4 linked regions of the Lonchura striata genome follow. The main gene of each other region encodes a partner of the protein of the gene in region 4 in a complex. Links are inferred from orthologs where the notes say so. Each region holds a gene or a part of one and is shown on either strand. Other genes may lie near its edges.

Region 1 (7,428 bases), on a different chromosome or scaffold from region 4:
TACAAATTAATCTGCAGTCTAGAACACTTGACACCTTAAACAGAAGTACTAGTACTCAAAAAGAGACTGAAAACTCTTCTGTTCATCTATCAGAGAGAGATTTAAAAGTGCCAATGAGGGGCTAGGAAAACAGAGACTTGCTAGCATATCTCATTACTTTTTTCAGTTCTTAAACCGGCCCAGGGGCTGCAACATCTTGAAGAACAATAACATTCTTTAAAGTATGTCTGGATGAGTTATCCCAGATGCTGTGATGACTGCAGCATAAGACTGCTCCCAGCAGCTCTTTTACTACTGAAGAAGCAGATAGGAACTTGTGACACATAAAAAGACAACAGCAGTTTTGTGTGATCAGAGGCTTCCTAATTGTTCATGAATCCTTCATTAATTAGTTATGCCAGTTTCAAGGCTACTTTAGTGAAAAGGAGCGACAAAGTATTTTAACATATTTGTATCTCTAAGTAATTCACACCCATTTTTTACAGTGCCCCCACATTTGGAAAGCCACATCTATTGCCTGTTATCACCTATACTTTTTCATGACTTATAATTAGAAAGTTACCACCTCAAAGATGTTTTTACCAGAACAAAATGCGAGTTCAACTATTTAAGAGCAAGATAGCAACACTTATTTCTCATTGTGCCTGTTCAGCAGTGCAATATATTGCCACACATTTTTCTAAGGAAATTCCCTATTCTATGAGATCAGAACCCAAACTTGAATGAGTTAGATGAGAGTTAATTAAGTTCAGCTTTGTAATTCCAAGTTCCCCTGCATATTTCTCTGACCTCAGATACTATACCACTTCATTCACATCCCATGGACTACAGCTGCCTTTGGCTTCTTCATTGACCTCAATGACCTGTATTACAATACAGCACTTCTTTTCAGCTTCTATTTAACTTCAGAAATACTACAGGCAAACCTTAGTGATGCAAAGATGTCATCTAGCAGTAATGGAAACCTAGTTTGCAAAAATATCATGTGGTATAACTGTTGTTTTAAAAAGTATGTTGTGCAACCTGCAGCCTTTAATTCTGGGAATAGAGGCCATGTTAAGCTAAGCCTTTGGAACCACATAAACTTTTTCATATACCTGTTGCCTCATTTCAATTAGAATCCCTTACACTATTGAAGAAAATCCCATCATATTATTTCTTTAGAGATTTTGTTTCTCCATTGGCTAAATGAGCAAACTGAGAGCCACTGCAGATGTTTGTAGGTTTCAAAGAACCTGAAACTTTCAACCCTTCCTTTATTTCCCCCACACAGTAAAGGACTATTTTTATTGACTTTTAGCATATGTTACTTCACCATTTTAGTTGACCTCTTAGACTTTTTGCAAGCCTCCTCATAATAAACAGGCAGTCAGAAAAAAAAAAATCTCTTTGTTATGTTTAACTTTTAAACGGCTATAGTACCGGAATGAAATTAATCAACAAAACTCCGAAAAACTACTTGGCCTGGTATAAATTTAATTTCCATTCTTTCTAGCAACAACTGCTTGTCTATTTCTTATAGGACTACATAAAAAACACCACTGAAGTACCCTAGGTTTTGTAGACCAGTTACAAAATGAAACTCTTATATTGATTTGTAGCCAAAAAAAAAAAAAAAAAGAAAGGCTAGAACCTGTCAGTTCTAAGTATTATGCACAGACATGTAGAAAAATAATTGGTTTAGTATTTTTTTGGTTACAGAACGCTGAGCTCCACCCTGACAGCCACCAGTTCATGGTGTGCTACTGCTTTCAAATATTTTGATAGCCTTTTTCCCGCGCTGCTTCTTACTGGGCGATGTGCTCATAACGGATGGGATACTCTTGGTCGGAGGGTGACTGAGTACAAGTGGAGGAGGATTCTCTCATAGCACACAAATAGCGTGAACAGCACTGTATGCAAGTGGGACAGGAAGAGAAACCAAAGTAATTCACACGTGTTCATGGCAACCCAGTGCAAAGCCTTCCCCTTTTTAACAAGTATCAAACGCTTGAAAGTTGAGTAAGTGCAGCCAGTTACATCTCCTAAGTATAGAGACTGTGGAGATAGAGAGAAGTGAAGTTAAATGAATAACTGTTCACCTGAAACTCCAATAAATCTGCAAGCAGGGAGAACCTATCAGCAAGACAACTGTGGTTCAAAGTTACTTCAGGGTGACTTCTACAAAGAGAATGCTTTGCAGGAGAAAACAGGACTTAGGCACATACTTCCACCCTCCCATCCCTGCGCTTATTACAATCACCCGCTGCCCTGAAAGCTACACCAGCTCTTCTCCGCAGAGCAGGCTCAGACCGAAACTTTCATGGGGCTTTTGACTCGGAGGCTGAAAGGTGCGAAACGGCTGCAGGAACGGTATCTGTCACACCTAACTTCTCCAAATTAAGTTTTGGTGCCTGTTATCTCTCTTGATGCCGCCGCTGCAGTCCTTGGGCGATAGCGCTGATCTGGCCCTTGGGCGAGAAGCAGAGCGCTCCGCAGTTTAAGCCGGAAGGGCCCAGCACGCCCCGCACGGCAGCGGAGCGGAGCCGCGGTGCGCGCACGGCGGAGGGCACGGACCGTCCGGCCCCGGCCGCCGCCCACGTCCCGCCGCCGACTCACCCAGCTGGAGCTGCTCGCACCCTCCGCTGGAGTTCCCCCCGATCCGGCACCGGAATACGTCCCCGGGGCTGAGCACCGACTCGTTGGCGGGCCAGCTGGCCCGGGGCGCGCCCGCCACCAGCCTGCGGGGCAGAGACGGCAGCGTGAGGAGCCGTGGCCAGGACCAGGCGCGACGGGCCCCCGCGGGGGCGGCCGGGCCGGGGACTCACCATCGCTCCTCGCCGTGGCGGTGCAGGAGAACAGAGTACCCGAAGAAGGTCCCGTTGCTCCCGCGGAAGAGCAGCGCGTGCTGCGTGTCCAGGTTGTAGGGCCGCGCCGTCGGCAGGCACTGCCACAGCAGGAGCAGCGGGGCGGCCCAGCCCGCGGCGCCCCGCGCCCTCCCGCAGCTCCGCATGGCTCCGCCGGCCGGCAGCGCTCCGACGCCGGCTTCCCCCCTCTCCGCTCGGCGAGAGGGCAGCGCCGCGCCCCGCCCCGCCCTGCCCCGCCCTGGGGCGCCCTCTCCGCAGCGCGGGCTGGGGGTGTCCCCGCGGACGGGGCAGTCGCACGGCCCCGCCGCCGCCTCCTCCCGCGCGGTCGCAGCCCCTCTCCCTGCCCAGGCGGCGGGGGTCGGGTTTCTCTCCGCCCCGTCCGCGCCCACGGGGACGCTGCGGAAGGGACACGGCCCCCGCGTCCCCGGGCACTGCCCCCGTGGGACGCGGCTATCCAGGCACCGGCGGAGCAGAGAGGGCCGCGTCCCCATCTCTTCGCCTCGACACCCTTGCCCGGCCCAGCCCGCAAAGGGGGAAGGAGTTACTGGAAACTTATCCTAAAATCTCCCGCCGAGCAGCGGGCGGGCGGCTCAAGAGCAGAACCGTGTTCTGAGAAAGGAAGCGTGGAGAAGATTTGAGTTTTCTGTTTAGATTTAAGAAGAAACCCAGTACCCCTGTGTTGAAAGCCTTCCACGCAGTCGCTGTGCTGAGGGAGCCTTGCCTGCTGTCCCCCGGTGTGGGTATTTGGTTCCTGAAACCAGTGCCGCACAAGCAGGGCACTGGCCTACCCAAGACTTGTTGCACAAGACTGCTGATGGCGCCTTCCTTTTCACGTGTCATGTAGTCAAAACAATCCCCCATCGCTTCTTGTACATTTTAGAGTAACTTTTGCACATTCCTATTCAGTTCTTCAGTTGCTGACAAAGTTAGCGGCCATGCCTCCAGACAGCAAAGGAACAAAGGAAACTGAGCATTGTGCAAGAGATCTGGTATTTGTAAGGGCTCCCTTGATCTTAGTGAGGAGCATTTCTGTGCGTGTTTTCAGCAATCAGTTGCTGACTCTTGATTTAGCTCATACTGAGTTGTGCTCATCCTGAAATCAAGGCTTTTATTTCTATCTGCAAACCTTGCCTTACTGAAATCCTTTGAATACCAGGTCTTCCCCGTTGCTAAAATAATCCCTGTATATGGATAAGCTATGTATAACAGTATTTTGAATCTGAGAAACAAGAACAGAAGAACTTCTAAAAAAAAATTTATTTACAAAGATTACTTACTGAATCTGGACTAAAATCCAGTATGATTGCAACTATTGAATATTATACACATTAGAAATAACAGTGAGATTTCCCTAATGTAAATTTAGAACATGGCATTTTAAACTCTTGGGAAAATACCCCCCTTGGAAAGTTTCACGTTTCTGCAAAATGCTGAGCAACTACCAGAGTGGGGCACTGAGGCAATGCAGAGTGAAACATGCAGATGTGTAGTTTCTGGAATGAGATCAGCACAGTGGAAGATCTGACAGCCAGTCATCAGTGTATCTTTTTTTGATTCCTCATCTCTAGAGCCATCAGAGGGCTTCTTCGGATGAGACTGATGTGGAGCGGTGGCTGTTTCGTGCAAAGGAGTCAAACAGCTCCGCAGCTGCTATTCATCTTCCTTCCAATTACTTACATCAAAGGAGTTAAAACAATCAACAGCAGCTGTGAATCTGCATTTCTACTACTCAAGAAGTTTTCACCCTCATTTTCAAAGCAGCAAAACAAGCATGAATCAAAACTGAAATGCTAAATTGTGGTTTAGTTGGTGAAAAATTGTAACATGGTTGTACCACCGTGATGTTGGAACCATGTTGAGATAGTGGCTGTGTTCCTAGCTGACAGGAAAAGGTAGATTGTAAAGTGGTGGGATTCAATTATTGATGCATACATAACTGTTTATCAGCTATGATATGAAATTGAGAGCTCTATATCACCTGTCAGGAGGAAATGTGTGTGTTGTCTCCTAGACTCTGCTAGAGTGCATGTGATAGTGATCCATCAGGCATCCATGAAATCAGTGGAATACAAATTACTGGAGAGTCAGAAATCCATATTTTGAGAAATTTTTGCAGGTTTCAGTACAATTCAGGTACTAGAAAGAGATCAGAATAAATGCAACTGACAATATGGAGTAATGGAGAGAGAATTTGAGTTTTATTAGAGATTTAGAGAATTTGCAGAAAAGGTGGAACCAACACTGGAAGCCAAGTACCTGTATTTACAAATCAAATATCAGTTATGTATCAGTTTATATCTAAGTTATCCTGAAATAATAAAAAAAGTTCTCCCCAAAACATCTTGCTGCTATTCATTCTCAACAGCACATCTCTCACAGTCCTTTGTGGGTTAATAACACTAGAAGAAAAATATCCCAGTGACTTGCCTCTTGTGCTTGAATTTGGTTCACCATCTAAGGCAATTTCAGAGGAGCCAGTGGGATGATTTGTTAATTATATTAGTCTGCAGTTTGGCAACATTTTTTACAGCAGATGTGTGCATTTCATCTGACTGTCCTCATCTCTTGCTGCTTGTTCTTGAATCATACAGTGACCCTGTTATGCTGATACTGTTCAGTGTCTGAGCAGTGAAACACATCAGAGAAGTGATCTGGGTTAAAAATAACTCAGACAAAAGCCCCCAAACCTACATCACATTTGTAGCTGGCCAGTTGTATTGGTTGTATTTATAGGATGGTTTAACCTGATGCTGCAGCTTTAGGAACTTTTTCAGGTAACAGCCTTAGCTTTCTACAAGTAGCAAGTCTACGAAGTTAAAACCTACACATCTGACTTAAAACGAAGCAATTTCTTTCCTTTCTTTTCACCAGTGCTAGTGAGAAGAAGGGTAAGAAAATTACTGAATAAAGAACATACTGATTCTGACATTCATTCATACTGAATGTTTGTCACCTTTCTTCTTTGGAATATATACTTTTTGATTCCCTAAGCTGGAAGGCATTTGTATTAAATTAAGTCCAGTGTATGGGCTGGTGTTGGGTAACTGATCACATAAAAGCTTTTGCTGTGTTATAAATACATGAAAGCACATGTTGATAAAAATCTTCATGGATATGGCTGCTTTCAGCTGTGGCTGTCCCTGGTCTCCTGTGTGCCACATAAGCCTACTGCTGCTTATGGAAGAGTGTCTCCACATCTACTCTGAATTCGAAATAAAAACAAGCAGTGGTTGGGATCCTGTTCCTAATTAGAAAGACATGAAAGTTTAATTTTTAAATTGTCTAAGTACTTAAATAATGCTATTTCAAATTTGAAGTTTCTAAACCATTCTGATTTACTGAAACATGGAAAATTTAGGGTTTTGGTCAGACCATAACTACATCTTCTTTTTATGTAAGCTTCTCCTCCTCCACCCCCCAACAATGGCAGTTGGCCACAGAAGCTACTATTCATATGCTGTCATCTGAGAAATTATAGAAGGCAAATACACTCTTACCTCTAAGGCTGTCTTCAAGAAACTTCATCTTCCCTCTGCTGTAAGATACATGTGAGTTCTCATGAAGAGGTTGCATTGTCCACTGACAAATACAATTAAGCACAGATGTCTGATGCACCAAAAAGAAGCAAATGTTAGCAAGGGTCTTAATTGTATCATTTTGTTTATATTCTCTTAAGAGATCTGAATTTCATTTAGAATCAGTTAAAGAGAAACAATCTTTTAATTTAATCAGCTTATCATATATTTACAATCATATAATGTCCTTTTAGGAAATATTTTTAAAAAGTTTTTTCTTCCCTTGAAAAATTGTGCTGCTGAAGTAAAGACTGATCTGCCAAAAGAGCTTTCCAGAATTTAAACATAAAATAGTGTCATACAGACAATGACTATGACAACCTGACTAGAAGAAGCAAACAAAAGATAATTATTGTTAATAACAGCTTAACTAATAACTGCATTTTGATTTACAGATAGGTAGGACTGGAAATTAATCATTATATGTATATGTGTGATTGATGCATTGCATATCCTTTTTTATTTTTTAAAATTTTGTCAAAGATTCTTGAGTTGCAAGATCAGACACAACAAAATATCTGTTTCTGAGAGGAATTGGGCAGTAACCTTTTTTCCCATCCCAAAGGAATTGCTGAACTTTTGAAACTTTCCCATCTGAAATTCAAACAAAGAGTGTTTTCATGCACCATTTCTGTGTCTTTCTTTGTAAAAGTCTGGTTCAGCAGAGTTGTAGCATTTTTTTCATTATTATAACTTTTAAAAACAAATATTTTAGTTAGATCTAATTTCTTTGAGATAAAAAGGAAATATGTATGTTCAGAGAATTTCAACATAAAAAATAATAATTTATTTAAATCAACACTTTTCCATAATTAATTTTCCATAATGAATCAACATTTCAACACATTCATCTCTACACTGAAAACATTCTGACCACTTATTGATATTGTGTTTCTATTTTTTTTTTTCATATTTCTGTACTTCCATAGATTCCACATGTCTGCTGATGAGATTGGATGCAATGGGAATGGAACAGAATCTGAAAAAACTTTGTGTAAATTTATTTC
Region 2 (7,445 bases), on a different chromosome or scaffold from region 4:
GGCCATTTCAGTTTTGCTCCCTACACTGTTCCAAATTTGCATTCTTCTACCACACAGCTTCTACTCTTTAATGTCGTGCCCAATCTGAGAGAGATTTTTTCACTATTTTAAAGCTTTTGGAGAACAAGTAATTCCTAAAAACAGAAAGACTGTAGAAAGTGCAACAGGGATAAAGAAACAAGTATGAAAATCCACAGATCCCTCTTGACCTAAGAACAGCAGCATAACACAGCTTTTGAGATTGCAGCTAGTTTATCACTGGTCAGCTCAGACAGTACAGAGTATATGTGGAGCAGACACAAACAACTACATCTAGCTCTCTTCAGTCCAGGCACTGGAGGTGATGAACTCTCCTAGTTCTTTACATGTTTATGGACTTCACTACTAAAGCAGAATGACAAAGTACTTTTTCTGGTTTGCAACAGTTCCATTAAGTTCCAGCCAAAGAGGACAAAAGAAAAAGTAATATTTTCACATTTACAGTTTGCTGAAAAGCCATTGAAATAAGCAAATTATATTACATAAGCATGCAGTTATGTAGCACTATAAGCCAGACAGACGCCTACTGCCAGAATTAAAAGGGGCCCACTTCAAGTCAAATCTCCCATTACAAGAAAAGCGTCCATGAACTATCAAGACCCCGCCTATTGAAAAGCTCAGAGTCTAAAAATTAACCAACATAAGAGGCACAAAAACATCACGGATAATTCAACTTCCTAAGCCTCACTATGCAACAGCTTCCACAACAGAACCACAAGACTCTCAGGTTTCACCTGCTCTGGAATGAAGAGATGTCAGGGTGCTTGAAATCTCTCCAAGCTGAATGCAGAGCATAAAAATTCTATAATGAAACTCTGTGGCCTTCCTATTTCCACCTGTGAGGACAGCCCCTCTGACTTCTGAGAATTGTTACTTTTAAGGAAATAGCACTGCATGGGGCAAAACTAATAAGCTGTAAGTGCACACTTAAGAATTTCCCATTTCACTGAACTGATAGCAGTCCATGAGGCAAAGCTTGCAAAGTTTCAAAGAGGCGACAGGTATATGCATGAAAAGCCTTTTGTGAGAACTGGTTACAATACTGCCAGGAGGTTTTTGTTTGTTTGAGTTTGCTTTCCCTTTTTCTTCACCCCTTCCCAGGAGAGGAAATGACAGTATCTGACAAAACTCGTTGAATACTTCTTTTTAGCATGTATTTCATACACACCAAAGCCACATCACACATTAAACTTAAAATTGCTGGTCAGGTCAATGTCCTGCTTCTGATCTTTTTAAAAGCATAAAGCCATTAATTAAGTACTATAAACTTAGTTGTATGAAGTCTTTGAAAATCTGGCAAGCAGGGGTGTTTTTTATTCTACATTCACACTATGTATCTGTCGGTAAGATAAGCAGATGGGGAAAAGTTTTAGTTATTATTTTTACAAACGGGGCCATGTACATCGTAACACAGAACATCAGGCCACCACACTTCAAATAAAGGTGCTGTACTTTTATTGCCATGCAGCTGGCAAACTGGGGTGAGAGCATGCAGCCCTGGGTACTCTTGCCAACTAACCTGATCAGTGTGCGCAGCTTTTTGTTCAAAAGCATCCATCATATGTATTATATGCAATCAATATCAAAAGCACAAACTTTCAACCACAAACACATGGAGCGTCCCAGTTGCCGTGTCAGCACTAAGAAATTGTCCCTATGCATCTGGTGTCAAATCTGCTTTTCAAAGCTCCCATGGCCTCGCAGCTCCTGTCTGTTTCAGCCCGCACTCATCGTATTAGTCCAAGTTCGCATCCCCGCACTCTGTTAGGAAACCGAGAGAAAACAGCCCGGGAGCGTTTAACCTGCCGGTGGCAGCCACCAGCACTGATTCACAGCACGCTCGCTGACCTAAGAGTTTCTTCTTCATTAGCACGGGGGATAAGAGTGGGCTCTGGCGCACTTTTGCCTCCCCAGGTACCCGCCGTGGCCACCCGGGGGTGTCACTACAGCCGGGGGCCGCGGGGGCACCGGGGGCTCGGCCCCCGGAGGAGTCGGTGACCGGAGCTGCTCCCGCCGCCCCGCGGTGAACCCGGGGCGGCGACGGCGAGCCCTGGCCGAGCGGGTCCCGCGGCGGCGATGGTCAGCCCCAGCCGGGCAGTCCTCACCTGCGTTATAGAAGCGGTCCAGCACCGCCGTCTCGCCGAAGTCCAGCTTGCCGAAGTGCAGGGTCTCCAGCGCGGCCCCCACCGCCTCGCACGCCTCCCGCAGGCTCTGCAGGGCGCCGCTCTCCGCCGCCAGCAGCGGGCCCTGGCTCGCCTCGTTGATCACGTAGGTGACCGCGGTCCGCCGGCCGCCACCCTTGGCCCGCGCCGCGGTGCTCGGGCAGGCGGCGGCGGCGGCGTCCTCAGCCCAGACAGCGGCGGGCGGCGGCGCAGCCAAGTCGGGCGGGAGGCTGCGGGCGCCCGCGTCGGCCCCGGGCGCTCTCCTGCCGAGTACCTCCTCGCAGGGCGTCCCGCCGCCGGGCGGGCCGGGCACCGGCAGGCTGACGATCCCCTCGCTGCTGTCGTTCATCCCGGCGGTGAAAGAGCAGCCCCGGGCTCTGTTGCGCTGGCCGGGGTTAGGCGGATGCCATAATGCGCCGCCCGCCCCGGAGCGGTCCCGCTGAGCTGCTGGAGGGGAGAGGCGAACGGGCTGAAGCGAGGGATTCCCACTCGGGCGCTAGCGAAGGCTGTCGGAGACAGGGAGATGAGCACAGCCTCCCTCCGTGCCTGCCACCGGCACCATGACGCGCCGCTCCCTTCTCCTCCGCACCTGCAGGGACTACCCGGCGCGCCGACCCCCGGCAGCCCGGCCTCCTTCTCCTGCCACCCCCGACACTCCGCTCGTCCTCCGGCCGCTGTACTCCTTGGACGAAATTCCTCGGCCGCGGGGATAAACCACTTGTGGGATCGCTCTCCGGCGCCCCAGCTCCAGCCGAGCGACAGCTGCGGAGCCACTGGCAGCGCGGGCTGGGGCGGCCCCAGCACCGGGCACCTCCTCCGGCCCCGCCTCCGGGCAGAAATAACCTTTTCCGCCCCCGTGCTCAGCGTTCTGGCCGCGTCCCGAGTGGGAGCTCTCGAGGAAGGGGAGTCGTGTCGTGTCCTCACGGGCTTGTCAGCCTGGAAGGACGCCGCTCTTCTTGGGAAGTCCCGGCTCGGTCACCCCTGCTCGTCGGGGCGCCACGGGAGGGAACGGGGTGCGGGCTGTTGGAGAGGACCGGGGCGGCCCTGCCGTCTCCTGCGGGGCTTTATTTTGTAATATGCTGTCCCCTAACACGAGCCCACGGTCGCGCTTCAAATCTGTGGAGTCAGGGTGCGCCTCCCCGCTGCTGAAACGGCGGGGGCCCTGTGCGCCCCGGAGCCTTCAGCGATGTTCACTGAAGGAGCCTGTGTTTGCAAGAAGCCAGGTCCTCCCTGTGCGTTGAACCTGGTCCTGCTAAAGGGATTTTTATAATTTCCTGCTTTTCTTGTTTGTTTTTGATGGCACACGTACTCTAACTAGCTTGTCAGGAGTAAATGCTTTGAGTGTTTGCAGTGAGTTGAGAGCAGTGTCAGGACTGACTAATCATTAGCCTTTGCCGTCTGCTATTATCCGCCGCCTGAACCTGCCTCGCTCTGTGTTCCCGAACGGCTTCAAGTTCACTGAAGGGTTTATGGCTGCTTTGAGCAGGACCAGCCTTATTCTTTTGCAAGCGCTGCACTCGGAAACTGGAAAACTACCCCTGTATGTTGATTAAATATGTCGGTTTCTTGCATTCACCTGCAATTTACTTGTCAAGAATACTTGAAAGCTTGGTAATTATCAAAAACATTAATTCACAGAGAAGGAAACTAATAGCACTAAGCAGCATATAGCCAAAAACTGTGCTGTGTATAGTATAGCACCTAGCAGAGGACAAGATCTTTTGGTATTAGAAATAGTCCTTAATTCGAAGAAAAGATGCCCTACAAGTTCAGATTGTTTGCAGTACAAGGCTGAATATCTGGGGAATTCAAAATGGATTGGGAAAGGAAATAATGTTGAGACTTCAGCAGTCTGGTTTTGGGTATAAATACTGTAAAACTGGATGATTTTTCAAATGTCCTTTTTTAAGGGCTTATATTAAATGGGTACAAGAGAGAAGAAAAACCAGCATTTATTAGCTTTGTTTATATGTTATATCAATGGGTCCCATCCTGTTAAAATTGATGTTAAGACTAATCCACTTGTTGGCACAAAGCCTTCTCCTGTATCATTGTTTTCCATTACTTCTGTAGATCAATTCTGGAATAATTAGAAAAATTACTCACTGCAGTAGCTTCAGTAGCTCTGTTTGCTTTTGCATTGAGCAGTCCCCTTTTCAACAAGATATGCTTGGCATTTACTTCTGCTGATAAGAAATCAGTAAATGGGGTGGGAAGATGACAAGCAAACTAAAGACTAATTTACAGGGAAAAGTTAATATTTGCTCATCTGCCAGATACAGTAGGTTATTGTTTCTTGCCACAGTCTGAATGGCAAAGTGTTTTTCTAAATTATGATGTTTTACATAAAATGCAGAATTGGTGTTAATCCATTCAACATTGCACTTACATCACCTTACAGGAAGCAAGAACAATATGTCTCTGTTGTTCTCAAGAACAGCCTGTGTTTGTCAAGTGCAGAAGGAAGTCATGGACTGAAAGGAGACGGAAGAAGCATGCTATTCCACTTAGCATTACTGACTTGTGAGGCTTGCTTCATTATTAGCACCATGTCTGTTCCAAATACAAGGCACTTTTTCTACTGATTTGGCTATGTGTGACGTTGAGCGCTAAACTGGGAAAAAAATCAAAATACTGTTGAGTAACAAGTTGCTGATGGTTTTATAAAGTGAAAATATATATTTTAATCTGTTCGCTCTCTGAAATGAACAACAGGCATTTAGGACATCTTTTGTTTTCATTTTTGATTAGGAGATAATTCCAAGGACTTTTTAAAAACTGAAGTAACAGCCCATTTGTTATCAGAAGTACTCTTACCTTGTTCACTTGTTTCTCAAGGGCTGTGAAATTAACATCTTTAACACCAGATGGTTTGTATATAATCATGATTCAGTACCATCCTGTTCCAGCTCTGTTTTTTTCAGAGACAAAACAGAGAAAAACTTGGAACAACCAGGTGGCTGTAGACTTGTTGAAATAACAACCTTCTCTTTGTTATATATTTCTACAGCTAAAAATCATTTACCTCTGGTATTAACCATAATTATAATTTTAACATCCAAGAGTTTGCCAACTTTATTAGTTGCAAATATAAATGCAATAGTTGATGAGTTACAAAGAGCACATGACAAATATCCCAGGCTTGATTTAGCTGATCCAACTAGTATAAACAAGGTCCAAAACAAAAAAAGACAATTCAAATGTATCCCGATTTATAGAGATTAAATCTAAATATAACTCTGTCCAATCTATATTTTTCATGTATTGTGGCCATCCATGTCCAGTAGAGGCAGAAAAATTATTTTAGACAAATCTTCATTTTGAATGTTTACACTAATGTGGATACAATTAATAAAATAAACTGAAATTTATCGCCACAAATACTGGGTTTAAAATGGATGTGAAATTTCATCAATCCTTTAAGGACGTCTTATTTAACTACAGGATAACATAGGAGTGAGAGATTGGAAATTCACTGTAAATTCTTCACTGATAAACAGGAAAAAGTTTTCAGGAGTCCAGCATCCTTCAGTTATGAGTGTCTAAAAAAACCCAAAAGAATTTTAAGAAACTTGGAGATATAGAAATTTGAATGAGATATTAAAAGTACATAAGTTAATGCAATATTTGTAACCTTTAGGCCAAAACTCTCACAAGTACTAGAAATGGTTAAACTGAAATTAGAAAACCTTGTTTCTAAAAGCTATCAAAAAAATTAGACTAAGTATATCACTATAGACAATGAGAAGTAACTTCTAAGTTCAGCAGGGAGAAGGCAGTATTTTGAGGCAGGCAGCTGCCAGTCTTTAAGAAAAGGTACACTTATAGTCACACTGAACATCTAAAACAATATTTAAGTGCGGGCAGAAGGTAAATAGAGACTGGTGGCCATTGTGTAGGGATGCAGCTGATCATGGAATAGGAATAACATGGGGAATCTGCTTACCAAATTACAGCATGGTGCATATGGGAGGCAGCCAGCAAAACCTGACCGAACAATGTGGATACATCATCAGGGATGGATATTTCACCAGTCAGGATCTTCCTTGTAGCCCTTTTCTTGTGAGAATGGTGAAGATTGTGTGCTGTTCTTGCTTCATACTCTTTCCTCATAATTCTCACATTTCTTTCTAAATCTCCATGTCTAAATCTTCATTTGCTCCAGTGTCTTTCCCTCCTCTTGCTTCTTTTATTCTTTTGAACTTCCAGAAAACCTCCATGCTAACTGCCTCTTCCTTCCAAATGCCATAACCCTCAGTTTAGACATATAAGGGGAGTCTTTTCCCTTTGCATTCCTTACTGCAATCCCATTGGTTGTTTTTATTTATTTATTTTCAATGTTGCCAGTTCTTCAATCTTAAATGAACCTTGGGATTCTAAATGCTTTTTCTAAAGCTGCAACACATTCAGCTTTATGATGATATGAAGATTTCAACTGGAAACATCTCTATGCTTCTATCGGTCAATAAGCATTCACTTGTGGAAGAAAATCTTGATGGCATGGAGCCTAGGGAATGGTTCAATAGTTTAAAAGACAGACAAAAATTAACTGCTCTCCTTGAATATTTTCAGTGTTTTAAGCTACCTGCCCTTGCACATGAGGAAATAGCTCACATTCTACCTTCTCTGGTAGAAAAGCTCTTCTTATAAGTTGTTCAAACTCTTGGACTCGAGCCCTTCTGATTACTGTTCCTGATGACCATCAAGGGTTTTGGAAGGATTTGTGCACACAGCAATGATGGTTGCCAGCTCAGCTCACACCTAAACTGGCTGTCAGCTAGCAAGCTGAGGAAATGAGAGACGTGTTTGTAACAGAGCAGAGCTCTTGGGTCTGAAAGGGTGGAGATACTGCAGTAAGGATCCCAAACACTTACTCTAATGCTAACGAGGAGGGTACTTCTGCGAGCAGAGCATAGAGAAGTGACAGCTGCATAAAGCTAGCTGAAAACTGCATACTACGCAACTTTCCCGTTTTTAATTGGAATTATATTGTGTTTTGAATTTCAGTGTAGTTGGGGATTTTTTTCCTTCAACTGAGGACTCTTTTTTTTTTTTTTGCGTGGAACATGGCTGCCATCTACTGCTGCATGCAGGATCCGTCTGTTTGGAAGAATCTGGCTGGATTCTCCCTCTGGGCTGGTGAGGCCACACCTCAGGTCTTGTGTCCAGTTCGGGGCCCCCTCAGTTCACGACAGACCTTGAGGTGCTGGAGCAAGTCCGGAGAAGGACAACAAAGGTGGTGAA
Region 3 (7,059 bases), on a different chromosome or scaffold from region 4:
ACAGAACAGTAATAAAATCAGAATTTTCTCATATTTGCAGTCATTTCTGAAACTCCAGCAATACCTCTGTGTGCCAGTTCACAGGTAAAAATTGATTAATTAATGAGACTTCCTGATCTCAGTTAATTTTCAATAAAAACTAAGTGAATGCAAAGTAGTCTGATATTGTTTGTGACAAAAGGTATGTCCCTGACCTTGCATAACCCTAAAACTCCAAAAGAAAGTAAGTAATGCTTATAAAGACTAAAGTGGATCTTCACAATGAATATGAAGCTAAGCATATGATGATCTAACTGCTTCTGCATAAAACTCTGTTTTCTTTAAGCAAGGTCAAAAGTTGCCAAAGAACAGAAAGAATGTTTTGCATGAGGTTGGGAACAAAAGAGATCAACTCTGAAAATGTAATAAGGAAAATACAACAAAACACAAAACAATCTCTGAAACCCCAAACTTCTAAGTATCTAGTGTTTTCTTTTTTCTAAGTGTCCCCCTAATGGAAGATCTAAAACAACTTGTTTCTTAACCACCAAATCTCAGTTTTTAAACCAAAACTATTTAAAATTTGGGGTGAAAATGAATTTTTAATTTTAAATACTTTCTATCATGACTATTCCTAGCAATTTTTTTTGCCCCAGTAGTATCACTATCACTAATACAAAGGTAACACTTTTTATAAAATACTACTCTTTCTATACCAAGAGATTTTCTAACTTTTTTTGCATAAAGGATTAAGGAAAAAAGGTCCAATCAATACATGTAGAAACTACTCAGTTATGAGCAGAGAGCTACAGTCTGACTTTAACACATGTTAAACCTGCCTCTCCCACCCAAACAGGATAGATTATGAAGCAATAAAACCTTGCCAAGATGTTTATGCATCTATAGCTGATAACAGTTTGTACAATATTAAATAGTAATATATTTATCAGAAAGATTTCCTGAACAATCATAGTTAATATTTTAACATCACTTGTGCTAACATGATCTTCAACTTATTACATTATATTCAGATTGGTACTTCACACATAAATGCATTGCAGACTCTCATAAAAGTCACTTCACTGAAACATGTACTGTGTTGTACTTGATAACAACTATTTCATTATCACTGAAAAAAGCAATCTCTCTCCATACATCTCTTTTCCATTTCTTTGCTCTAGTTAATATTCATCATGAACATCTCCTTAACTTCATATATTTTATTATTATCACTTTGGTTACAGTCACCTGACCAAAAGCTGGTACAGTATAATGCATCATGCATGACAAACATGATTAAAACAACATTCAATTGACTTAAAGACTGTGATTTAAAAGGTGAGCACAGGCATCTGGATGGTTAATTACATACTTAATGAGCATGAACTGCATCTGGTTTCAGACATGAAAACTTTCACTATGGTAGGAATCAGAAATGTATTTGCTTTATCTTATTTGGTTTTTTTCTTCACACCTTCAACACCCTAGGTTCTAAGATTATAAATTCATATAAATTTGTAAATAAATAAAATTAAATAGAGCAAGTGGCCCCCTCAAGCTACTAAATTAAGATACAGAATTATTTCCTACAGATTCTGTCTTATACTTGACAGGAACACTGACTGAAGCATCATTTATGTACACATTACTGTGTACATCATTACTGTACACAGTACACCCCTGTCATGCATACTCTTTGACTCTAACAGTATTTGACAGCAAACAAGGCTTTTTTCCCACTGCAGCACCATTGGAGAAAACATATAAGATCACTATGTTTACCTGGATGTTGGTAAAACTTTAGGAACAGGTTATATTTGGGATTATTCCCTGCTATTATATCTGGCTAACATGCACCAAAGGGGGAGAGACAGGCAAACAGTGACTCATACAGAGTCCCATTAAGAAACTTCAAAAATGTGCAGACCAACCTGCTGAAAGCTATCCCAAAAGGATTTTAAAGTGAGCTAAAAGCCCTCAGTTTTTCAGGCAGAGACCTCACAACAATGTTATAGTTTTACACCATGCACTCTCACTTCAGTCATCATGTTCACATCTTACACAAGATTTCCTCTCACCCTTCCTTGCCATGCAAGAGACCCCCCGGTAACAAAAGAGGGAACCAGTACTCTGGCAAAAGCAGTGCTGTGTGGGCCAATGCCAAAGAGATTATTTGCTCCTTCCAGTTCACAGTGTCATTTCTAGGGATGTCACATAAGACTTATTCAGCTTCCATATTGTCTTACAAAGTACATTGTGCCCAGGCACTAGTATTGGCTCCTTCTCTTTTTATTTGAAGTTTTTAGAAAGAGAAGTCACTAGGGAGTTTGCTTGTAAGAGAACACATTCAAAGCTTGCAAGGAACTGTTTACAGTAAGATCATATATTATACTTGCACATTGAGCAAGTGCTAAACACTCAAAGAGCCAAACAGGAGGAATCCTTGTTCTGAGAGCATTTCCCCTCTGCTCCCTACCACCCCACGATGTTCTCAAAGTTTACATGAAATAAGAGATTAACTAGTTGAGCAACTACCAAAGGTTGCTCAAATTATGTCATAAATTCATCTGTTCGGGTCCAGCAAAGGTTTATGACACCTGACAGAGCCCATTCCTGGTGCTAAAACCCCAGCAACAACAACAAAAAAGAGTGATCTCATCAAAAGCGAGACTCCCACCGCTCTCCCCGCAGACCACTACAGAGCTCGGGGCGCCCAGTGCTCGGTTCCCCCCTCGCCGGAGTGGCTGGGCGGGGGGCGCGGAGCCCCGCTGAGCTCCCCGCCCGCCGCTGCCCAGCCCGGCCCGCTGCCCCCGCCCGCACGCGTCCCGCCGCACCGGGGCTCCCACCTGAAGAAAAGTTTGGAGAAGATGTTCGCCTTCTCCAGGGGAGACCTCTGCATGGTGAGGTGAGGTGCGGCGAGATGCGGTGAGCGGGGAACCGGAGGCAGCCGCTAATCGCTGACGCCTCGCTCGCCCACTCCGCTCCTGCGGCTCTCCCACCTTATCCGCCCGGCCGCTCTGATGTCACCGTCCGCCTCCTGCCCCGGCCCCTCTCCCCGCCTCTGCTTTGCCCCGGTTCAAAGGCGGGCGGGCTGGGGCTCCAGCCCGTGCGCTGCTGCCGCCGCCGCTCCTCCCCCGCCTCCCGCCGCGCCCGGCACCGGGCACCGGGCGCGCCCCGCCGCTCCCCCCGCACCTCTCCTCCCCGGCTCCCCGACGGCTCTCGCCCAGCCCCTTACCTCCACCTGCCGACTCAGCTTCCCGAGCCACCCCACCGCGGGTCCTCAGCCTCTCCCCAGCACTAAACCCCTCTTCTGACCAAGTGCCGAGGTGGGGAAGCCACCCCTCCAGATGGGCCTTCTGCCCTCTGTCCAGGGCGGCGGGGACAGCGCAGCGAGGACAGCCCCGTCGGAGCGTGGACACCCCCTGCCCTCCCGGGCGCGCAGCTGCTCACCGCAGAGCCCGCCCCGGTGCACAGGGCGCCTGCTTGCAGCCCACCGAGACCCGCGGGAGCCGGGCCGGCGCTTGGCCTTGGTGGGCACCCGCGGCCAGAAGCCCCCGTCCAGCGCCCCACGCCTCTGCGCGGTCCCGGGGGCGAGCGCACCGGCACACGGGCTTAAGGCAGAGGGCGAGCGGTCACCCCAGGAAAGGGTGCGGGCAAGCGCGATCATACCGACTTTAAAATACACTTGCTTCAGTTTTTCAAGTTCTTTGTCAGGCCCGCACCTGAACCGAGACGAATGGGAACCGAAGCTGTATCTTTAGTAAGTTTAGCTCAAACACCCAGATCTGAAGCTTTATATGTGTGACATACAAACAAAATCACTGCTTTAATGGCGCACAGCAGAAAGCATATTTGAGAGAGACAAAGATGACAAGAAGCAAGAAAAGAGAACATGTTGATTTAATTCTGTACAGGATTTTATTTTATTTGCTGCTTTATTTTGATATTTATACACTCCAATGCCTTTTCATTTCTGTAACTTAAAAAAGACGAATGGAAAAGACCATGCTTTGTGAATGAAGCAGACTCTGCCCTCTAAACTGGCTCTGTAGAGAAGCGAACGTACTTTTCTACATTTAGTTTGCGCTACAATTTAACCAGCTGTTACTTTTTGCAAACTTTGCAGATACTTTTTATTTCAACGTTTCTCGCTACGCGTTGCTGTGTTTTCACAAAGAATTTCTCTTTGCCTAATTCTTTTCTTAGATTCCTGAGCCAACAAGTGCCCTCTTAGGCTGTCACTGCACCGGGCTCCTTTGTGTCTCAGACCTCGAAACCTTCCCTATTCTGCTTTATTAATGACAAAACCAGTAAGAAACGCGGGCAGGCAGGACTCCAGGAAACTGTCCGCATTTTATCATGTCCTCAGACAATATGTACAGGCAGGGCTAAACCCGCCCAGGCTCCAGGACAGCAGCGCGGAGCCCTTCGGCATCCTGCCACCTAGTGGAGCCGGGCCCGGGCCGCCAGCCCATCCCGCACCGCACCGCACCGCGATGCACCCCCTACTGCACTGGGCACCGCACCCCGCAATGCACCCCCTACTGCACTGGGCACCCGCACCGCACCGCACTGCACCCCCTACTGCACTGGGCACCGGCACCGCACCCCCTACTGCACTGGGCACCCGCACCGCGATGCACCCCCTACTGCACTGGGCACCGCACCGCGATGCACCCCCTACTGCACTGGGCACCGCACCGCGATGCACCCCCTACTGCACTGGGCACCGCACCCCGCAATGCACCCCCTACTGCACTGGGCACCGCACAGCAATGAACCCCCTACTGCACTGGGCACCGCACAGCAATGAACCCCCTACTGCACTGGGCACCCGCACCGCAATGCACCCCCTACTGCACTGGGCACCGCACCGCGATGCACCCCCTACTGCACTGGGCACCCGCACCGCAATGCACCCCCTACTGCACTGGGCACCGCACCGCGATGAACCCCCTACTGCACTGGGCACCGCACAGCAATGAACCCCCTACTGCACTGGGCACCGCACAGCAATGAACCCCCTACTGCACTGGGCACCCGCACCGCACCGCACTGCACCCCCTACTGCACTGGGCACCGCACCGCGATGCACACCCTACTGCACTGGGCACCCGCACCGCACCGCACCCCCTACTGCACTGGGCACCCGCACCGCACCGCACTGCACCCCCTACTGCACTGGGCACCGCACCGCACCGCACCCCCTACTGCACTGGGCACCGCACCGCAATGCACCCCCTACTGCACTGGGCACCGCACCCCGCAATGCACCCCCTACTGCACTGGGCACCCGCACCGCAATGCACCCCCTACTGCACTGGGCACCGCACAGCAATGAACCCCCTACTGCACTGGGCACCGCACCCCGCAATGCACCCCCTACTGCACTGGGCACCCGCACCGCAATGCACCCCCTACTGCACTGGGCACCCGCACCGCACCGCGATGCACACCCTACTGCACTGGGCACCGCACCGCACCGCACCCCCTACTGCACTGGGCACCCGCACCGCACCGCACCCCCTACTGCACTGGGCACCCGCACCGCAATGCACCCCCTACTGCACTGGGCACCGCACCGCAATGAACTCCCTACTGCACTGGGCACCGCACCGCACCCCCTACTGCACTGGGCACCGCACCGCACCGCACTGCACCCCCTACTGCACTGGGCACCGCACCCCGCAATGCACCCCCTACTGCACTGCACACCCTACTGCACTGGGCACCGCACCGCACCCCGCATCGCACCGCGGCAGCGATGCGGAAGAAGGCGGGATCAGCTTCTCCGGGCCTTCAGTGCTGGGCATCTGGAAGGCACCTCCCGCCGCTCCCTGATGCGGCAGTGACAGCCGCCAGACCCACAGCCCCTGCAGAGGTCAGGGAGCTTAAGTAGGAACGCGAACCAGGATTCAGATCCCCCCGGCAGGAGCCGGGACAAGGCTGGGATCCCATATGCTCCATCGGCCTCTGAGAGAAGTTCTTTGGGTAGGCCCTGGCAAGGAGCTCACCTAGATCTACCAATTTTTTTTCACTTAATTAAAAAACGGTAAAATGTTAATTTAAAGACAGAATCAGATAATCAACTACGTCGGAAAAGACCTTTGAGATCAACAAGTCAGAGTGGAAACCTATTCTTCAAAACAGTACACACTAGCCTGCTACAGGCTCTTTCTCTTCCTAGCCTTTGGATCTCTGGTACAAGTGAATAAAGCAGAAACTGAGCAGGGGATTAGACTTTTTTTTTTTTAATTTACATTAGAAAGTGAGGTATGTTAGTAATTTGAAACCATTAGTGGATCAGGTCCAAACTACTTAAAATGTCAACTGGTAATGAAGTATTCTTCATAACAGTATCTCCCTGTGGCTATTACCATAACAGCTGATTTGCACACAGGTAGCAAATTTGGGACTAACAAAGACATCCCATCAATCATCGTTGATTATGTAATTTTTCTTACATGAAAAATTCCACGAACTTTCCCTAATTTTGAACACTTCTTCTCTAAACTTAGAATATTTCTTTGCCTACTTTCTTAAGTACCAGCTATGGTTCATCAAAACCCATGGAATAATGATTTCCCTGCTCTGTGATCCAATAGTTTTGCAAATTAATCAGATGCTTTCACATTCACACATCTCTCAGTCAAAAACTCATAAACTCTTGCTTTTGTTTTACATATTTATTGTCATTTTTCTCTCATGTACCCACAAAGTTTCCACTGGTACATTTCCTTGCTTATTTCAGTCCTAACCTTCCCAGGGATCTTGAACTGACATGAGCATAAAACTTGTCATTAGCATTACTGTGAGCAGGAATAAAATGTAATATTTCTGTTCTTCTCTAGGGACTGAAATATCTCCAACTTAAGTATTATTTATGCATTTCATTTACATGAACTTCTTTCACTTTTACAGAGATGCAACTTGATACACTGAGACAACAGCTACTTTATCCTTTAGATGTATCCACAACTACCATCTATTGGACTTTACTCAGAAGGAAACACAGTGAGGCTGAGTTAGACAGCCAGGCAAGAGAATGGGAGGATGAGAAAAGCTGGTTCCCTGTGCCAT
Region 4 (7,972 bases):
AACCATGCACTAACTCTCTAATATATATACACCTAAATCCATCCATATACAAAATAATTTAAAGATTTGAATTCAGGGTAAAGTATTACTTATGCAGGAGTCACTGGTACATTGCTTCTTTGGCTAGATTTGTAATTTTTATAAAAAATTAGACTACAAACAGATGAGGAGAGACTACAGAATGTTTGATGAGGCAGAGAGAAAGGCCTTGTGAGATCCAGCAGCTCCAACTACTTTCCACTCAATGATGGAAAATACTAGCCTTATCCACAATTCATGTTTTATCATTGGCACCAGACAGAGAGTCAGAATCTGACTCATTTTAGAACACTGGGGATGGGGGAGGGAACAAAAAAGAAAAGAATACTCTAAATGCATGCATCCTTCACTTAAGTCTTTCAGGATGGTCAACCTACAAGAGTGTCCCGAGGAAGAAGAGTATCCATTGATCCAAAAGCACAATCAGACTACAAAGAAGGTGAACAAAAGCTTCTGCAAAGCTTGAAGTTTGGCTTGCAAATCACAGGCAGTGGCCAAGGAAAGATAAGTACAATATATACCTAAAAATGTCAATAAATGTTTTTATTCCAGAAAGTAAAGGATCTTCCTTCTGCCAAATGGGAGAAAGAAATTCAAAACTCTACAGAAGCACATAAAGGCTGCATAAAAATACACACAGATGTATATAATCATGTAGCCAGAGAATCAGCCCAGAAAGGTATGTAACAAAATCACAACAGTCAGGATTTTAAGCAAGCAGCTTTTGAAAATGTAGCTCTTAACAGTAGAACACACAACAGAGCTGCCAGCTCTTCTTTTCTTCCCTCTGCAGGCCGTAAATTTGCAGAATCATCTCCTGGTCTCTGGGGAAATGCCCTTTGCTAGGCTGCCTTTGCTCATTTTTCTGTTCCCAGGAAAAAAAAAAAAGCAAAAAAAACCCCAAAAAAACCCAAAACCAACACAAACACCAACCAACAGTAACTCAGGACATCTCTATATTCTAGCAGCAGCCTGGTTAGTACCAAGAGTCACCACCACGGAGCCTTCCAGTCCTGACAGCATTCACCGACTTCTAAGAGCTATTCTTACGGATTTCCTGGGTTATTGCTCTTGCTCCTGTCTATGTGAGGTTGACCCCCAAAAATCATGACATACTCTTCTAGCATGGGGATAACCCAATCTTGTACTCATCTATTTTTAATTAATTATGTTTAAGCACAAGAAAGAATAACTAAGCACTTGTGGAGAAAGGATGAGAGGGAAGAACTAAAAGCTGGTTTAGAGGGGAAATAAAATATATCTGGAGTAATTTTTTCCCCTCCCCATCCCTCCATTTCTTCTTCTCATGTAAGAAAGTAAAGTAAGAATGAGTGTAAATAAACACGCATATAGGTACTTTCATATGCAAATGTTTCTAACTCTACAAATGAGTTTTTGCTGCTGGCTGCCGCCTGACAGTCTGAGATAGTGAAAGTGCAAGTCATCGAACAAAAAGCTGTGAGGAGAGCAACAGAGAAAAAGCATCTGAAGAAGAGGAAAGCTGCTTAAAGCCTTGGTATTTAAGAGACCGAGTTCCCTGGTCAAAACTGCAATATGCAAGACAAAATACAACATTCTACAGTGGGGGAAAAGTGCAGGAAATGTAAGAATAAAAGACAGCAGGCGAGTATCTGCTTAAGAGACAGCATATGCAAAGGTGAGTAACATCTAAATCCTTGGATCTGCTCCAAATGGCAGCGTTCATGAAATCCAGAGGAGTGGAAATGGTGTTTGGCAAAAATAGCCCACTTAAAGGGGAAAGAGTGCAGCGTCTATTGACGCACGGGGCTGCTAGCAAACACAAACTATGGTTAGTGGCAATTCGGGTTGTTGCAGGACATGTTCCGTTCCCTCCAAAACCAAAAGTAATGGAAAGGACAGAATGGAAAGGCTGATGTTTTCCTTCCACAAAACTATTAACGTTGCCTACAGTATTGCAGCCTACTTCACACAGGATTCCCCTATATTTCCCGGAAATATCAAAATGCAATACACATTTGTGCTTCATTCTAATGCAGGCTCCAGTCTGCAGGGTTCTTTATGCACTTTTAAGGATTATCATTTTTCTTGCATCAGTTAATTTTTTTTATCATGTTACCAGAAAATATTCAAGTACCTCTGAAAATGTATGCTCTATATTTGGGTGGTTGCCATTTCAATGAGACTTTTCTACAAAATAAGGGTTTTTAGCTTATGTTAAAAATGAACTCTGTAACATAACTTGAAACAAGATGCAGCAAATGCTGTGCCACCATACCATCTGTGTTCAAGTACAGCTCTAAAGCTCTCCTCCTATTGCTTCCTAAAGTGGAAAATAATGGTAAAAAATAAAAACATATAAAATGAAGCCTCGTGTATTGGAATAAATTATGAACCTGAGCCTTACAATGTTTGTTCCAAAAATCTCCCTCTGTACCTGTATAGGCCAATGAAGTATCATTTGGAAACCAAAGAGTAGGGTTATATTCTTCACATTTAAATTAAGTAACAGTGATGTTCTCACCTGACACAGCTAGTAAATTCTGGTGAGCTTCACTCTGCACATTATTGCCTCTTTTGCTTTTTTTAGCTCTTTTCACAAGCTTTCCAACAATATCCCATAGGAACTTGAGTGAAATTCATTAAACATTGGAGTTAATTGAAGGAACCAGAAATTATGAGAAATATATTTTTTAAAAATATCTTACTGTTAATGTGGAAGATGACAGAGGTTGATGGGCAAAACTTATATGGAGTACAAACCCCAACATACATCTTAGGCCATGAGGAAGGGTAGTAAGAAATCAGAAACAAACTCTGCAGGTAAAACGCCACCATGGAAAAACTAACTGCTCTTTATATGATATAATGAAAAAAAAAAGCCTAGTTCTTAAAAAGTCAACTTTGACAGGAGGATTTTAAAGCAGGACCTTTCTGATATTCAGTCAAAATACAGGATCACTGTTTTGAAGATGAAAGGGACGGCGTTCTCATCACTTTATCTCACTCACAGGTCCACAGTCACTTTGTCACTGCAGGGTGCAAGACCACACTGGGAAGCTGTCCTGAACTGCCTGGAAAAGAGAGAGAGGCGTGCAGGCAAGAGCAGGAGGCATCTGCGGGAGAACCTGAAGATGCTGTTATCTCTGGTACCGAACCAACCTGCTCCCGGCCACTCTAGAACAACAAATACATCCATAACTTCTTCTTGCTTTCCAGAAGGAAGCGCCTCACTCCTCCTACGCTACTCCCTCGCTGTGTCCCACCGACAGACTTTTATGGCTGTAGACATAAGTACAGGCCCGTCCTGCGCCGGGCTGCTCCCGCGGGAGCCGTTCGGGGATGAGCCGAGCGAGCCCCGCCGGAGCCGCGCCCGGGGCCGCCGCCGCCCGGGGCCGCCGCCGCCCGGGGCCGCCGCCGCCCGGGGCCGCCGCCGCCCGGGGCCGCCGCCGCCCGCTCCCGCCGCCCGGGGCCGCCGCCGCCCGGGGCCGCCGCCGCCCGGGGCCGCCGCCGCCCGCTCCCGCCGCCCGCTCCCGCCGCCCGCTCCCGCCGCCCGCTCCCGCCGCCCGCTCCCGCCGCCCGCTCCCGCCGCCCGCTCCCGCCGCCCGCTCCCGCCGCCCGCTCCCGCCGCACGGCCGGGACGCGGCCCGGGCACGTGACCGGAGCCGACTTTCCGTGCGGTTTGCGCCGAACGGGAACGGGGCGGAGAGCTCCCGGGTCTGCCGCGGGCACGGCAGCCTGCAGCAAGCCCCGGGGAGGGAATCCCGCTCTGGAGATGCTCCTGGCCCATGGCACTGCCAGATACAACACCTGGCCCTTTTCAAAAAATATTTCGACGTGCTTTCTCCATCTTATTACTCTCCATTTCATTTCTAATCCTGTGAGACAGTGCTGATCCCAGAGCCCAGGAGAAAGCAGGAGAGGTCAGGACACTGCATACTTGAGACAAAGATTCAAGCTGGGGGATGTTGTTCAGAAAGGGGACAAGGGAATGCCGACTTCCAAGACCTTTAGGAAACAGGGTGGGATTTTTTTTTTTCCAGAAAATGAAAAAGCATTTCCAACAACAGCAATATTTATTAATACTCTTCCTACTCCTGTCAGCACGTTCTCATCAACGTTTGGATGGTGCTGTCCGAAATGCCCGCTTGCCTTTCCAAGGGAAGGGGCTTCCAGAGGGACCGTCCTGCGCCTGCAGAGCCGCTGAGCGCCCATCCGCCAGCCCCGGGGGGATCTCCCAGGGCGCTGCCGCCGTCCCCGGCCTCCCATCCTCCTCTGGCCCTCTCGTTTTTAACGCCCAGCACGAGTCGCGCTCCCGGTGCAGGATGAGGCTCCGGGCGCGGCTCGATGCGGAGCGCTCCCGCGGCCGCGCGTGTGCCGGGACAGTCCCGCTCCCCCCCAGCGCCCCGGGGCTCAGCCACCCGCCACGCACGGGGCTCGGCGGGGGTTACGGGGCGGACTGGGCGCTCGGGGCGGCACAAAGCCTGGAGAGCCCGCCCGGGGTGCGCGGGGGGCGGCGGTGACATCCGCGCACGGCCCGCGGCCGCACGAGGAGACGGTGCTGCCGCCCCCGCTCCGTGCCGCGGGCGCGGGCACCGCTCCGCCGCCCCCGGGCGGGTGCGGAGCCCTCCCCGCCGGGCCGGGGCGGGCGCCGCGGCGGGGGCGGGACGTGGGGGCGGGCCGCGGCCCCGAACCCGCGGCGCCCCCGGGACCCGCGGGCCGCCCCGCTCGGCTCGGCGGTGGGGCGGGGGTGCAGGCGCGCGCCCGCGGGCGGGGCCGCCGCCGGCTCTGGGCGTGACCGCGGGCGGGGGAGCGGGGGGGGGAAGGTTCGCGCGCGCCCTCGCGCTCCGTTGCCATGGCGCCGCTTGACGTCACGGGCGGCGCGCGGCCCGCGCGGAGCGGAGCGGTGATTGGCGGAGACGCCCCGTGCGCGGCGCCGGGAGAGGGAGGGAGGGAGCGAGGCTGCAGCGCCGCGAGCGCCAGAACCGCACAGTCCGCGCCGGCCGCCCGCCCGCACCGACGCACCCGCGCCCGCCCGCCCGCCGCGCACAGGTAACGGGGCCGCCGCCCGGCACCGGCTCCCCGGCACGCCGCAGGTCGGGAGCACTGAGCGGGGCGGCCGGGGGACAGCGCCCAGCCCGCCCCGCTCCCCCCACCCCCGGCGCGGCTCCACGGGGAGGGAGCGGGGCGCGGGGGCCGCTGCGCGGGGCGGCGGGGGCCCTTCTCCGCCGGGGAAAACGGGGAAAGCACCGGCGGAGGGGGCGGCAGGTGAGGGCGACCCCGCGCCCGCAGGGAGGGGAGCGCCGCCCCTGCCGGGCGGGGGCCGGGGCGCGGGCGGCGGCGCTGCCGGGTGTGGTCTCCCGCCGGGAGCCCTGCCCGGGCGCGGAAGAGTCGCCGCGGCCGCGCTCCCTTCCCTCCCTCCGCCCAGGCCCCCCCCTCGCCCATCCTCCCCGCCCCGGCCGAGGGGTCCGGGCGAGAGCGGCGGCTCCCCCGGGACTAGAGGGGGCTCCTCCTCCGCCGCTCCCCCTCCCCCGCGCCGAATCCCCCAGGGATGGACCCGCGGGCTTTCCCTATTCCGGGGCGGGGACGCAGCATCCTCCCCCGGGGGCGCTGGGCGGAGGGGAGCGGGATCGGGGCGGGCCGGGCTCCGGCGCCCACCCGCCGTGACAAAGGCGGCGGGCGCGGCGCTCGGTGTCCCCGCGGCGGGCGCGGCGAGGAGGGCGGGAGGGAGGGAGGGAGGGGCGGCCGCAGCGCCCCGGGGCCGCCCGCCCGCCCCGCCCTCCGCTCCGCCCGCCCCCGGGCCGCTCCATTTTCTGCTGTCACCGCGCTCCCCGTGCCGGAGCCGCGGCAGCGCCCAGCCCGCGGGGGCGGCGGCGGCCCGCCCGGGGATGCTGCCGCGGCAGCCTGCGGTGCCCCGGGGACCGGCGGCGGGGCCGGCGTTGTGACCGCGTTTGCCCCGGTCAAGCCGAGTGGTAGATAACCACCACCAAAAGCTCGCTTTAAAATGGCTCCTTAACCCCGCCGCGCGCGGTTGGGCAAGTTCTCCAACGGGCGTTTGCACACAAACGAGTTTGTGCCTCCCCGTTGGGGACAGGAGCCGTTAAAATTTGCAGTCACCTGGAATGTTAAAATGTGCTTAGTTTATTCCCAAAGATGGAACACAAGCCATGCCATTGTTTCTCCTAACGTCACATAAAATGGCAAAAGTCTTAGTGGTTAAAAATGAAAATGCTTGGTTGGGGTGTCTGGAACGTACAGAAATAGATAAAGCACTCATGACCAAAACTGGTTCATGCTTTAATAATCTTGTTAAACTTCGAAGGATAATGTATCCCCTAAGCACATTCCTCCAAATGATCAAGTTAGGGTACACAGAAAGATGGGGGGTGAGGCAGAAGTATTTTTGCTTCCTGTGCCAAAAGAAATTTCTCAATACCTCTGTGCTGATAAGACAGGTTCTGAAGTTTTTCTGCTAGGTTGTGCTGTCTGAAATACTGATGTTGAGGTCATATTTTTAAGTAGTAAAATTTTCTTTTGTCTGTGAAAGCACAGCCTCCCAGGCAGAGCAGCAATATCTGATACAGAACATCCCATAATGGGGATTCCCATTTTGGGAAAGGGAGTTAGCATTGTGGGAAGGTGTACAACTCACAATTTAGATATTTGTTGCACTATGACTTTTTAACATCCAGTGTGGGATTTGATTTGCAGGTGTTTATGTGAAGTACCTCTGCATGTAACTGATTCTGTTAAGGTTCAGAATGCTGCTTGATATTCTTTGTCCAGCCTTTATTTGGTTGTCTCCTGTGGAAAGCTTACTATTGGATATTTTCTTTGTCAGTTTTGCTACACTGATAATGTAGCCTTATGAAAAAGTGGTGGCAAAGAATTAGGATCGTTTTTGTGCATAAGATAGAAATTATTTGGTTTCAGTTCACCTTTGGATGCTTTTGTTTGTGTTTATTAAAATAACATACTTAAAAGTTTACAGTTTTCAGGAGGAAGCAGTGGTTTTAACTCTCTACTCCATGTGTCCATGTGTTTGAGCAGCCAGTGCTGCTAGTATGCCTTGTGTGCTGGATTTCAGTTGTGTCTCTTCCAGTTCCAAATTAGAGAATACACGGTGCTCTGCCTTTGAAGTTTAAACACCTTTGTCCTTGACCAATGTCTGAATAATGCCTCGCTATTTTTCCTCTTCAGAAATATCAACATGGATAAAAATGAGCTGGTGCAGAAGGCCAAACTGGCTGAGCAGGCTGAAAGATATGATGACATGGCAAGTTGCATGAAATCTGTGACTGAGCAAGGAGCTGAGTTGTCCAACGAAGAGAGGAATCTTCTCTCTGTTGCCTATAAAAATGTTGTAGGAGCCCGTAGGTCATCTTGGAGAGTCGTCTCAAGTATTGAACAAAAGACGGAAGGCGCTGAGAAAAAACAGCAGATGGCTCGCGAATACAGAGAGAAAATTGAGACTGAGCTAAGAGACATCTGCAATGATGTGCTGGTGAGAAATAATGAAACTGTTGATCCATTTTTACTTAGAGTTGCAAAGTAAATGGTGCTGGGCCCTCTGGGACTGTTTTTAGTCTGTCAGTAAACCTGTGGTCTCCTATGCTATTTCTGTTTAAAAAAATGTCTGAATTTTTCTTTCCCTCTAATATGCTGATTATTTATATACAAATTATAGTTATGAATGCTAATAAACTTGGAGGCATGTAGAAACATTGTACATAAAGTAGTAGTTAAGAAAGCTTAACGTGTTTCCCTGAGACTGAACTATATGCAGGTTTAGTTTGGGGGTTTCTCCTACCCCAGTGCCCCTTCTGCCTTAAAGCAGCATATGTATCCTAGATGTCTTTGGTTTCTGCAATTTTAATGTGCTGCTGTGGTTGTAAGAGGTAGTTCTTACTCTACGGAAATTGTGCCCCTCCCTGGGTAAGATGATGTAATGTTA

The links.
Region 1: the proteins of YWHAZ (region 4) and ITGA4 are in contact, whole or in part, in a crystal structure (PDB 4HKC), measured with the Homo sapiens proteins. The link is inferred for Lonchura striata from reciprocal best matches to the Homo sapiens genes YWHAZ and ITGA4. Residues at the interface, in NP_001129171.1 of Homo sapiens: Lys49, Arg56, Lys120, Arg127, Tyr128, Glu131, Gly169, Leu172, Asn173, Val176, Tyr179, Glu180, Ile217, Leu220, Asn224, Leu227, Trp228; in NP_000876.3 of Homo sapiens: Arg1007, Gln1008, Tyr1009, Lys1010, Ser1011, Ile1012, Leu1013.
Region 2: the proteins of YWHAZ (region 4) and MAP3K5 are in contact, whole or in part, in a crystal structure (PDB 6EJL), measured with the Homo sapiens proteins. The link is inferred for Lonchura striata from reciprocal best matches to the Homo sapiens genes YWHAZ and MAP3K5. Residues at the interface, in NP_001129171.1 of Homo sapiens: Val46, Lys49, Asn50, Arg56, Lys120, Arg127, Tyr128, Glu131, Gly169, Leu172, Asn173, Val176, Tyr179, Glu180, Ile217, Leu220, Asp223, Asn224, Leu227, Trp228; in NP_005914.1 of Homo sapiens: Ser964, Ile965, Ser966, Leu967, Pro968, Val969.
Region 3: the proteins of YWHAZ (region 4) and CFTR are in contact, whole or in part, in a crystal structure (PDB 5D2D), measured with the Homo sapiens proteins. The link is inferred for Lonchura striata from reciprocal best matches to the Homo sapiens genes YWHAZ and CFTR. Residues at the interface, in NP_001129171.1 of Homo sapiens: Asn38, Arg41, Asn42, Ser45, Val46, Lys49, Arg56, Arg60, Glu113, Phe117, Lys120, Arg127, Tyr128, Glu131, His164, Pro165, Ile166, Gly169, Leu172, Asn173, Val176, Glu180, Ile217, Leu220, Asp223, Asn224, Thr226, Leu227, Trp228; in NP_000483.3 of Homo sapiens: Arg764, Arg765, Arg766, Gln767, Ser768, Val769, Leu770, Asn771, Leu772, Met773, Thr774.

The regions. Positions count from the first base shown.
Region 1 is NC_134610.1:24,034,368-24,041,795, reverse strand, and holds the start of ITGA4 (integrin alpha-4), read right to left. Parts: upstream 3,008-7,428; 5' UTR 2,993-3,007; coding exon 2,808-2,992; intron 2,721-2,807; coding exon 2,599-2,720; intron 1-2,598. UniProt on the Homo sapiens protein: Integrins alpha-4/beta-1 (VLA-4) and alpha-4/beta-7 are receptors for fibronectin. They recognize one or more domains within the alternatively spliced CS-1 and CS-5 regions of fibronectin. They are also receptors for VCAM1.
Region 2 is NC_134605.1:50,682,086-50,689,530, forward strand, and holds the start of MAP3K5 (mitogen-activated protein kinase kinase kinase 5), read right to left. Parts: upstream 3,011-7,445; 5' UTR 2,551-3,010; coding exon 2,145-2,550; intron 1-2,144. UniProt on the Homo sapiens protein: Serine/threonine kinase which acts as an essential component of the MAP kinase signal transduction pathway. Plays an important role in the cascades of cellular responses evoked by changes in the environment.
Region 3 is NC_134607.1:34,225,391-34,232,449, forward strand, and holds the start of CFTR (cystic fibrosis transmembrane conductance regulator), read right to left. Parts: upstream 3,001-7,059; 5' UTR 2,879-3,000; coding exon 2,826-2,878; intron 1-2,825. UniProt on the Homo sapiens protein: Epithelial ion channel that plays an important role in the regulation of epithelial ion and water transport and fluid homeostasis. Mediates the transport of chloride ions across the cell membrane.
Region 4 is NC_134603.1:21,495,859-21,503,830, forward strand, and holds the start of YWHAZ (14-3-3 protein zeta/delta), read left to right. Parts: upstream 1-4,962; 5' UTR 4,963-5,070; intron 5,071-7,218; 5' UTR 7,219-7,228; coding exon 7,229-7,522; intron 7,523-7,972.